Arabidopsis thaliana: one gene and its partner. The protein of the gene in region 1 interacts with the protein of each later gene in a pairwise test. Each region holds a gene or a part of one and is shown on either strand. Other genes may lie near its edges. The genes, in order: AT2G34750 and AT3G12930.

Region 1 (6,967 bases):
ATGACTAAGAAAACGACAGGGGTCTACTGTTTGGCAAGATAACCAACCTAATTGCTCTTAATATTAATACCAAACTCACTTATCCAATTATATATACTCGATAAATTAGTCCCAAAAATCGAAATTCCTAGCACAAAAAGCAAGTATTAGATGAAAGAAAAATACTAATCATTTAAAAACATAGAATGTATGAACAGAGCTCCCTCTCACTCATTTCCCTCCAGGACCCACCACCAAATATATATACAAGTAAACTACCCAAATAAATCAACTCACAAGTTAACATCAAGGAAACAAAAAAACACACAGTTCCTAATTGAGTTGAGACACATAATCTATTAAAGAGAAAAATGGCTTAACCAAAAGTTCTTTTCAATTGAATCATTCACTATTGTTGCAGTGAGAAACAATGAGGCTCAAAAAATAAATTCACATGTTTTCGAGACACCTTCCTTTCTAGCAACAATTGAGCATTTTTTATTTAGCCTTCAATAACAATGCGTAAACAAAGTTTTAAGATAGTTATGATTCGTTTTTTGAGAGTCAATAACAAAAATTATCCGATCTAAACCACTAAACATCAAATCAATGGAAATCTCAATGTTTCCAGAAAAATGAAATCTATCTAGAGAGGAAAGGAAACAAATACGGATTCAAGAGAATAGATTCGAATAGAAACGAACCTGATGGATCTCAGCGACTCGAGACGGAAGAGAGAATCGCCGAGATTGTGAATGAATCGCCCCGGCCCTGTTTTGGAGGTTTGCGTTGGTGTGTGTGTGAGAATTAGATAGAGAAAACAAGGTCGGTGTAATATATCTTCTAGATGGAATCTGGACCGTTGATTGTGAGAGATGCCTTAGATCTCGGAGGCCAACGAATCGTCAATATATTCAAAAAAAACAACGGCTGTGCCAGGTTGTTGCTCTTTTGGCTCTCTTCATACATTAGCTGTTCATAGCCTCGTCTTGTCACTTGTCGTCGCACTTATAGGATTCCCAATTTTGTACGTTGCCACAAATAAACAACATTACACTATATATATTACAAATTCAACTTATATGGAAAAGAAAAAAAATACTAGGATACTCATACACTGTGTGGACGATTACATTTTAGACTTCGAATTATTGGTCTTCTGCCAACAATGTCAAAAGATTTTATTGACTGCTTTAATCATTTTCCATAGAGCAATGAGAAAGTCAAGGATTAAAGTCGGTCTCTTCTTGAGTAAATATTAAATTCGAAGATTGTGGCAGCTAGATAATAATCATACTTTCGATTTTCTTATTGAGTAAAATAAAATTTGTAAATGATTAATTCATTATGCTTATTTTTAGGATTTTGATGCGGCCTCTTATGATGTAGAATCATTCACTACCAGTACACGTGACCAGTGTCAAGCATAGTGTTTGATTATAATTATTTTATTTGCTTTAGTACTATAGAATGTTTCTTTAATGCTTAAAATCCACGATTAATATAGCTCACTCGACGACGCTGGTGTGATGACAATTGATTAGTCTTTGTCTTTTATGTCTAACTTAGAGATTTGACAACGGAGCTTAAATAGTCAGCATAATGAAACAGAAGATAGAAATGAAAGTAGTAGTGATACGGTTAATCAAATGTTTGGTTAGCACTTTTTCCAGAAAAATGGGTTGGTTCCATTTCACAAATGTAAAAGAAGTAAGATATTGGTTATATCAGCCTGATGTTGAGATAAGCTTTCTTGCATTGGTACACAGAAGAAGGAATGGACGAGATGGAGTTTAATGAAGCAGAGAGTAACATGAACGATCTTGTGGCTGAGTATCAGCAATATCAAGATGCTACAGCTGATGAAGAGGAGTATAAAGAGGAGATGGATGAAGATGCTGACCTCGATGCTTGAGATTTTTAGATCTTTAAATGGAGTTGTTTTCTTTTCGTATCCGCTGGCTTTGATTGCTCTTTTGTCTGTTGTTTTGGGTGTAAAAATTGTAATGAGAAACTAATTTGTATGTGTGTTGGCCCTAATCTTTTCTCGTTTTGGTTTATATATATCTGGTTTGGTCTTATTTAGTTATGGTTATGTGAGCAATCAAAGTAGACCAATTAACCAAAAATAATGTCTATAGTTCACTTACTTAAATTAAGTAAAAATTTGTGTTTGTCACACGACAGAAACATAGAAAACAAAATTTGATGTAATGACGACAATAGTGAAGAAAAAAAAAGATGGAATTAAAGAAATAGGAAAAAGTAAGTGTGAACCCTAAACGTCTCCTATTATTTATCGATTATCGCCGTCTTTCATCAGAATCTGCTCCTTCTCTATTTTTCTTCTCCAAGAAAAAACCATAGCGAAGGAGTAAAAAACGAAGGCCGGAATTATCAGAACGGGACAGTGACAAGGGTTTCCCTGAGCTGACGGACCCTTTCAATTATTCATCCTCGTGAGTTCTCTCACCGTCGTATTTTGTGTCTTTATACTAGTTTTCTCTTGTAAAATCTGTAATCAATGGAGATTTTACTTGGTTACATCGATTCTTATAGCTCTCCTTTCCCTATTTTCGCAGCTGATAGTCTATATAGCTTCAATACTTAACATTTAGTCTAAATTCAGAGACTTTTCCAGATATTGTTTCTAGTGAGTTTAAATTGAGTGTTTATGGTGTCTTGAGTATAAGTTAATGTTGAAAGTTTTGAGATTTCTTAATACTTCTCTTGTCCATCAGGAAAGTTCCACACTTTCGGCAACTTGAAGTAGCAGCACGATTTACATTAAGTCCAGAGAGGATGGGAGCAGTAGAGCTTATGAGTGATCCATCGAGCTTATGCACAGTCGAGAACTATGTGGACAACGTTGATTTATCTGATACGCAATTGGTGCAGACCGTGAGAAAGGCTCTTACATCTGTCAAAACTGTGAGTGTTGTGCAAGTTTTGCTTCTTCCTCTGCTTATGTGTTTACAGTTATATATATTTGATGCTATATTATCTGTTATGCTTCTTGATACTAGTTTTATTAATTCTTTGCTAATGACAGGGGGACTCAGACCTTTATAGTGAGATGGTTGGAGTTATGGCACGGGACATCAAAGAATTTAAGGATCCTGATGTAGTGGCGCAGCTTGAGGTGTGATCTATTCTTTGTATGGCAATCAATTCTTTCTTATTTGTTCTTTTTCTGTTTGCTAAAGTGTTTTCATTTTTCAATTGAACTGGCAGACAGTCTTGAAAGCTCTATCAGGCGCTGTGGCTTGCATAGATGTCCTTCACCATCAAAAGCTTCTTTCTGCGGTAAGTTTCTATTGCACGAGCTTACAATTGCTTCCAATTTAAATAGTTTTAAGATGGATCCTCCCAAATCTTACCCTGGATTTCATCCCAATTGTTATGTCTAGCTTTTTCGAATGAAATTGTGGGACCACAGACCTGATGTCATGGATGCATTGGTGAACCTTGTCATATCACTGGTACACAACTCAACATTTACCCGCCTATTGTTATTAGTCTAGATGAAGAGCTAGACCATTTAACTTTTGCCTTTTTTCCATCGCAGGCTGTCACTAGTGGAAAGTATTTAGACTCTTGTCTGAATATGCTCGTAAGCAACTTCGTTCCACCTCCTTGGGTAGTGAATAACCTTTCGCACTCCCGTATACTAAACAAGAAGATAGACGTTCTTTCTCGGGTGCATGCAGCGCTTCTGAAAATCTCTATTTTGGTTCCTCTTACTCCCTCAAGATTAGTGCCAATGCTCTTCCAGCAAATGCCCAAGATGCACAAAAAGGACCATGTGAGTCTTTCTTTTTGGTAAATTTTGGACAATTTAGTTGTAAGCTCATACTGGCGATAAACTCATACGAAACTATCTTACCGCCTTGCAGTCGATAGTGATATATGTGGAGAGCTTATTAAAATTGGAGAATAGCTCAATAGGGCAAGTTGGTGGCAGCATGATTCTTGGTATGGTGATGGAGAGGCTGCGAGATTTGGATGTAAGTAGACAGAATATGCTTATACAATTGAGGTCAGTAAGTAATGTGGTATTGGTGAGTGAATGATATGCTGGTGTATCCTTGTAGTTAGAGATTGAATGGGATGATATTCCACAAGATGACTCTAGTAGAGGAATGTTTGATATGGAACTTGAAGATGCAGCTGAAGGCACTATGAATGATGGAGACGAGGTAGACTTTATGTTTATGTTTCCTTTTGGTATCAGTTAAAAGTTGCTAGATAACAAGTTAGTTGGAACATTCTTTTTGCTGAACTACGAAAGTTTGGACTTGATTTATCTATTGCAGCTTCCAGTGGGACCTCTAAAGCAGGATACATCAGATGGAAGTATAGTCTCTAAGTTGTTGGACAAATTGATGGTCGTAGCTTTTGAGCATCTTGAATCCTGTCAAAATGATGGTCGTTTGGATCAGGTATGGCACCAAATGGGACCTCATTGACATATGCATCTATACTTTCCTTAATGATGGACTCGAGAATCTTCTTAGCACTTCTGATTTTTTTTAATTATTTTGGCGTAGGTGTTTGAAAGCCTCTTCAAGTCATTTGAAAACTTCATTCTGAACACATACAAATCAAAATTCACCCAGGTAGTCCATATAGCTATCATATTTTGCATAATTATGTACATATTCTTCTAGACTCTAGCATGGTCGACATGAAATGTCTCGGTTTATACTCACTTTCTATATCATCTGCAGTTTCTGATATTCTATGCCTGCTCACTGGATCCTGAAAATTGTGGTGTGAAATTTGCTAGTAAGCTAGTGGAGATTTTTCTCTCCAGCAACAAGCATGTAGCTACTAGGCAAGCATCCCTTCGGTTTAAATTTTCTCGTTCGCTGCATGATATGTTCTGTCATTGTTCTAATCACAAACTTGGTTGTGCTTTTGTCTCTCCCCCTTAACAGAATGAGTGCGGTGGCTTATCTTGCTAGCTTCTTGGCTCGTGGAAAGTTTTTGCCTGTTTCCTTTGTGGCTAGCATGTTGAAAAGGTGGAAGCGATTTCTACAAAATGTCACCTCAAACATAATCATTTTATCTGATTGAAGCTTCAGTTTGTTGTAACTTGTAACATTGTTTTTGTTGTGTCCAAAAATTTTAGGTTGATAGATGAGTGTGTGGGTTACTGCAGAACTTGCAATGATGATACTAGGCCTGAAGCACATCAGATTTTCTTCTCCGGATGTCAGGTATATATAGCATTCAAGCCCAGGCCCCTGCTGTCACAAAATTCTACAATCACTCTGTTGCTATTTCATCCTCGAAAATATTTTTTTTACCTGTCCTTGAGAGTTTTAAGTTTCAAAGAGTCATTCCAAAATGTAGTTACATTATTTTAAACTGTCATTTGAATCTGTTCTGTGACCACAGGCAATCATGTATGTGCTCTGCTTCAGGATGAGATCCATCTTGGATGTTCCTCGCTTTCGGTCCCAGCTTACACCATTGGAGTCAATATTAATGCACAAACTAAACCCATTGATGGTGAGTTATCTTTTCGTCACATAAGGTCAACTGTTATATGGAAGTGTGCCAATGTATCAAATGCATGATAAGCGAATTCTGCTTTGAGAATAGGTATGCCTTCCATCGGTAGTTGCGGAGTTCCTTAGACAAGCTAAAGAAGGTGGTCTGTTCATCGTCTCAGACTCGTTCATTTTCGATGACCTACTTGAGTCTGAGCTTTCCCGTGCTTTTGGCGGGTTTGAGAGGCTGGATACATTCTTCCCATTTGACCCTTGCTTGCTAAAATCCTCAAACAGGTTCATCTCTATCTTTAAACCATTGCACCGATTCTTTTACAGGAATCTTAATTGAAAGTCTTGACTCTGTTTCTGCATTTTCTTGGGTGATGTTGTAGCTTTATCTCCCCAAATTTCATCTACTGGTCAATGGTCAAAGCGACCTATGACGAAGATGATGATGATAATGATGCTGAGGTGATCGTGAATGGAGATGAGGACAGTGACGAAGATGACGAGGCTGATCTTGATTACGCCCTGAACAAGATGTCCATAACGCCTAAGCACTCTTTCAAGAACAAGATGGAAAGAGACAGACTTTTAAGAATGCCTTCCAGGATCAGACCGTCAACGAGTCCTGAATCCTTGTGATTCTACTATACACATTTTTGTAGCAATATGTAACAGTGATTCGACTGAGAACATATTATTGTATGAAACAATGTTTGTTTTCCTTTCAAAAAACTGCTTAATATGTGGTTCACCTAATGAAACATTAAAGATACTTGAATCATTTAATCGATCCATTGAAGGAAAGAAACAACAACACAAGAGATATCATCTTTACTTCCTCTAGCCAAGGCTTTATCAATTAGCATTTTCGCAGCTTCTTCTGCATTCCCTCTCTTTTTGATTTGATCCCAAACCTCGTCGTTCGACATCACCTGACAAAGAAACCAATCAAGATTTAGTCCTATCTTTGGGTGCACCAATTAATAACGTCCCATGGCATTCATATGTAGAAACCTTCCAGAGTCCATCGCTAGCCAAGATCAAGAACTTTGTGTCATCGTGGATCTCGGCAATCTCTATGTTCGGGATCACACTTATATGCTCTTTAAGGCCTCCGTCTCCAAACGCACGCGTCATCGCTAGTTGTCCATCCACTCTCGGAACATTGCCTAATCATTATAAGTAACATGGGTTTATTGGCTTTGCCTTGGAAGTCCGAAATAGATCATTTTCTCTTTTCTTCTTAGTAAAAGATACAAAAGAAGGGACCTGGCTTTTGGGAGACAAAGCCGCCTTTGCTCTTGACAAGATCTCTCTCTTTGTCAGGTTCGTGATCAACCGTAATTTGTTTGACTACATCACTTTCACGACACAAGATTGCTCTTGAATCTCCAACGTTTGCAACCACAATTTTCTTCCCATCAATTACTATAGCCGTCACAGCCGTGGAGCCACCTCGTGGACCAACCACGTTTTGAAGA
Region 2 (4,152 bases), on another chromosome or scaffold:
ATAAAGGAGCAAAATATATTATTACAAGAATTAGAAGCAACGGTGGTATTCAACGATGGAATTTATACGCGTATTAATATAAATAAATGAAAGATTTTGGTGGGGGAAGGGAAGTTGATATATAGATCAATGGAGCTCATTGTCAACATTCAAACATCTCATTACTTCTATCGGAAACACACTTAACAAAGACTTTAATTTCCACTCCTTCTCGCACCTCATTGTTACAAAACTTCTCATTTTTATTTATTTTGTCTACTCCATATTCCACGATATTTTTGACCGTTGCACTTGAATTCATGCACCAGCATGTGGACCCACCTAATCTATCTGATAAAGTTATAATTGAGTAGAGCAGCAAAAACTCATACGAATTTTCAAGTCTTTACACGTTACGTGGATCCAAGGCAATTTGTAGATCGAGACGGAGCCGTAATTATCGAGGACTCATATAAACAATATTATTAACGTATAACGTAGTATAAAATAAAAGAAACATCTCCATTATATGGGTTACTCACTCATGTACCTTCACCTAATCCTTCTGACCTATCCCCACGTTAACGTTTCATTTTGGAATCAGATGCCACCCACAACTAATCTCTCTTTCCATGTTTGATATGAATCGTATTTATCCTCTGTCGATAGCTCCAATTTGACTAAGTTGTCATATTTAAATTAATTAACTAGTGTGTTAATTAGCTGCCAAGATTGATTAACATATAAAATCTTTGGGTGAAGATAAGGAATCAACCTCACCCTCCCACCCACTACACATATGAACAGAAAACAAGTGAAATCGATAGGTCTTTCTCTTTTCTCAATATAAATATGGATATTAATTATACAATAACCATAATGGAAATTAAAAAAAAAAGGAAATGTGAGACCATGAGAAGACGTGAATTCACTGTCAACTTTTAAGAGAATGCATGAAAATGTGTAGAGAGAAAAAAGGGGTCGGCAAAAGAAAATGAATGGCTCTTCCTCTCCAATTCCATTACACCACATTTCTCCGTGGATTTATGTCAATATCTTTGAAAATTTTGTGTGTTTTGAGTATAGATGTGATATAACAAAAGAAAATGTCAGAATTGTAATGAACAGAAAAATAAATGGTACCCGAAAAACCAAGAAAAAAAATTAATAAGAAAAATGTTGACAGGAAGGTAGATGTGCGGTTGTATTATTTGCAATGTCCCTCTCTTGCTCTATAATTACACAAACTTGTCCAATTCATCACACTTCCCCAACCAAACTTGTTTGCTTCATATAAATTATTTTATAAAAAGTATATAATGTATGCAGGCAGAGACATGTGTGTGTCTGTGTAGGCTACTAGCTACCTCTCTTTTTCATAAATTATATCGATTGATTCCGTGGGATTATGACCTATGTGAGACTGTGACATTTGAGGTTTTTTTGGCCCTCTGTGTTATGTACTCATCATAGAATGCGACATTTTTTTATTTATATATATATGATTAATGATCAATGCCAATTTGGGAACTCTAGTAAGTATGCTTTTAGTGGTCCACCCCCATTTCTAGTCTTATCTTTTCGATAATTTCGTTTCTCATTTATTCCATTCTCAACAATCTTGCCTGATAATACCAACCAATCAAGTCAGCTCCATTTTTTAAAAATCTTAGAATAAAATCTAAACAACAACACACAGTGATAGAGAACATTCGGCTATGGAATTAGAAGTTGCCTGCATGTTTATTATCTGTCTATCTGATATGGATCCTTGAAACAGGCCCATTTCGAGATATTAGAGGCCCAAAACGAAAATAAGAAATAAGCCCATGATACGATGTGTGTAATTAATTAACACAAAATTGAATATCATTAAGTTAATACTTTTATCAGAACAAAGGCGAAGGGTTTTAGATATCTTATCCGCTTGACGAGTAGAGTTTTCGAAACCAGCGAGATTAATGGCATCTTCCACCGGTCTCACCGTCGCCGGAGCTCTGCTTGCCGGAGATTTTCGATTACCAGCTGTATCGTCTCTAATACCCAGAAAGACTTCTTCTTCATTGTCATGCCTTAGCAACAGAGATTTATCGTCTCCTTATAATTGCTGTTGGCGACTATCCAGAGGCAAAATTTTGACTTCTCTCAGTAACTCACGGAAATTTGCTGTGGGAAAGGAAGCAGAAGATGGGTTTCTATCGGTACGATCAAACTCTTACCGTTTCGATTTTGCCTTGCAATTTCTACAGTAATTGTATTTGTTCTAGGAAGTAATTTGGTGCGAATTACCTGATTAAGTAATGCTTAAGAAAGATTAGAACTTTAGAAGTGCTGAGTATAGTTGGTTTGACAATGCGTTGTGCAGAATGTGAGCGAAGATACTGATGAGATGTTCGACGACTTGTTCAACAAATATGGGAAGGTTGTTTTTAGAAGCACTGATGTTAAGTCTCCAACAGCTGAGGTTGACGATGATGCAGAGAGTTTAGCATGTAAGCCAAAGCCTTATATTCATTTGCAGTATATATTTCTTGACCTATTTGGCTTTAGCAATGGTATTGATGTTGTTATTCACATTTGTTGCAGTTGCTGTTGAATTGGCTAAAGTTGCGAGTGATGTGAAAGCTGGAGATATTAAGGTCCTCTTTGTCAAGCCTCTTGTTTACTGGACTCGGTTTTTCATCATTGCCACTGCGTTTTCCCGCCCTCAAATTGATGCAATAGGGTACAGATTTATTTAGACTTGCTCATATATTCCACTTTGGAAAACATCAAATTTACTTTCTCTTCATGAACTGCGAATGCAGATCCAGGATGAGAGACCTGGCTGAGAAGAAGTACGGAAAAGTTGCTAATGGAGATGTAAAGCCAAATTCGTGGACGTTGTTAGATTTTGGTGAGTTTCTTCTTGCGTTGTTGGCATGCCTCTAGTTCAATGTGTCATGTGAGGGTAAAATAATGACAGTTTTATGTTGATTGATATACTTTTAGGTGATGTGGTGATCCATTTATTCTTACCTCCGCAAAGGACATTCTATAACTTGGAAGACTTTTACGGGAATGCTATGCAAATTGAACTTCCCTTTGAGGATCAGTCACAACCACGGAACTGATATGATGAGACAGTTTGTTCCAAAAAAACAAAAAGTAACAGTTTGGAAGAAGAAAGTCTGTTGATTCTCTTCACTGGCTAGAGTCATGCCACATGAAGGCTGTAGATTTTTTTGTTTGTTTGTCCAGGCAATGCCTGATTGGTTACACTACACAGCTCTTGGCGTGAGGGGTTGATGGGCCAACAATATCAGGAGATCTCAGACATGTTTCTAGATTGTTTGTTGGGTAGAGTTAGACCCAAACTGTGTTCCGGCTTTATGTAATGTATGCTTTAGGATGATTCTTCATGTTATGGAACACACACTGACCAAGACTCTAATCTAATTTGCTTTCAACAGCAACAAAATTCATGCACCAAAAGAACTCAAATCTTATTCATCAAAATCACTGACTGGCCATATGAGATGGTTTTTGTGCATAGATGAGAATCCTGGAACATGCTATACTTGTATATTATACAAAGGCACAATGTACAATGAGTCAGATAATAAGAGTCACTCATACAGCTCTATCTTGTCTCCCTGTTCCATAGATCATACACAGCATGTGCAACCACTGACACTGAAACCTGACTAAGAGTCAAGGCAACCAAGAGACCAAAACTGGAAGACTCATTTTCGCATCTCCTGCAATCAAAGAAATGAACTGGTAACCTCGGGATCAAGTCTCAGCGAAAGGAAAAGGAGTGTTATTGGGTGAAGAATGGTTACAGTTAGTCACATGTTGGTTTCCCTGAGCGGTTTCAGACAGACTGAACTCCATGTCATGTGTTTCAGACCATCCAGGCTCATATGTCTCAAGGAAACCGATTTTCGCTTTATTGGGTAGGTCGTGAGGATGAACAAATGGAACTCCGTGCGGCCACCCGATCTCCCTTCTTATATTAGCACAAGGGCTGTTCATTACATTGTGGTTATTCTCGCACTCCTTGAGATTGCAGAATCTTAGTTTGATTCCTTTTTTATCTGCAATCTCCTGAACTCGTTCCTTGAGAACTCTCTGTGCTTCTAACCTCAGCCGTTTTGAAGGTGGTAGTGGTTTGCATCTAGAATCACTCTT

The links.
Region 2: the proteins of AT2G34750 (region 1) and AT3G12930 interact in a two-hybrid assay, tested with the Arabidopsis thaliana proteins (one large-scale study listed by BioGRID).

What each region holds. Positions count from the first base shown.
Region 1 is NC_003071.7:14,659,607-14,666,573, reverse strand, and holds AT2G34750 (RNA polymerase I specific transcription initiation factor RRN3 protein), read left to right. Parts: upstream 1-2,169; 5' UTR 2,170-2,438; intron 2,439-2,720; 5' UTR 2,721-2,781; coding exon 2,782-2,910; intron 2,911-3,031; coding exon 3,032-3,121; intron 3,122-3,213; coding exon 3,214-3,285; intron 3,286-3,389; coding exon 3,390-3,461; intron 3,462-3,547; coding exon 3,548-3,784; intron 3,785-3,875; coding exon 3,876-3,986; intron 3,987-4,073; coding exon 4,074-4,178; intron 4,179-4,295; coding exon 4,296-4,421; intron 4,422-4,529; coding exon 4,530-4,598; intron 4,599-4,709; coding exon 4,710-4,816; intron 4,817-4,919; coding exon 4,920-5,003; intron 5,004-5,113; coding exon 5,114-5,201; intron 5,202-5,382; coding exon 5,383-5,496; intron 5,497-5,589; coding exon 5,590-5,774; intron 5,775-5,872; coding exon 5,873-6,125; 3' UTR 6,126-6,268; downstream 6,269-6,967. Other genes in the region: AT2G34740 (protein phosphatase 2C family protein), read right to left, coding at 6,269-6,418, 6,501-6,655, 6,756-6,967.
Region 2 is NC_003074.8:4,126,525-4,130,676, forward strand, and holds AT3G12930 (Lojap-related protein), read left to right. Parts: upstream 1-1,809; 5' UTR 1,810-1,940; coding exon 1,941-2,180; intron 2,181-2,344; coding exon 2,345-2,471; intron 2,472-2,565; coding exon 2,566-2,704; intron 2,705-2,786; coding exon 2,787-2,875; intron 2,876-2,970; coding exon 2,971-3,092; 3' UTR 3,093-3,432; downstream 3,433-4,152. Other genes in the region: AT3G12940 (2-oxoglutarate (2OG) and Fe(II)-dependent oxygenase superfamily protein), read right to left, coding at 3,754-4,152. UniProt on the Arabidopsis thaliana protein: May be a ribosome silencing factor. Involved in plastid biogenesis.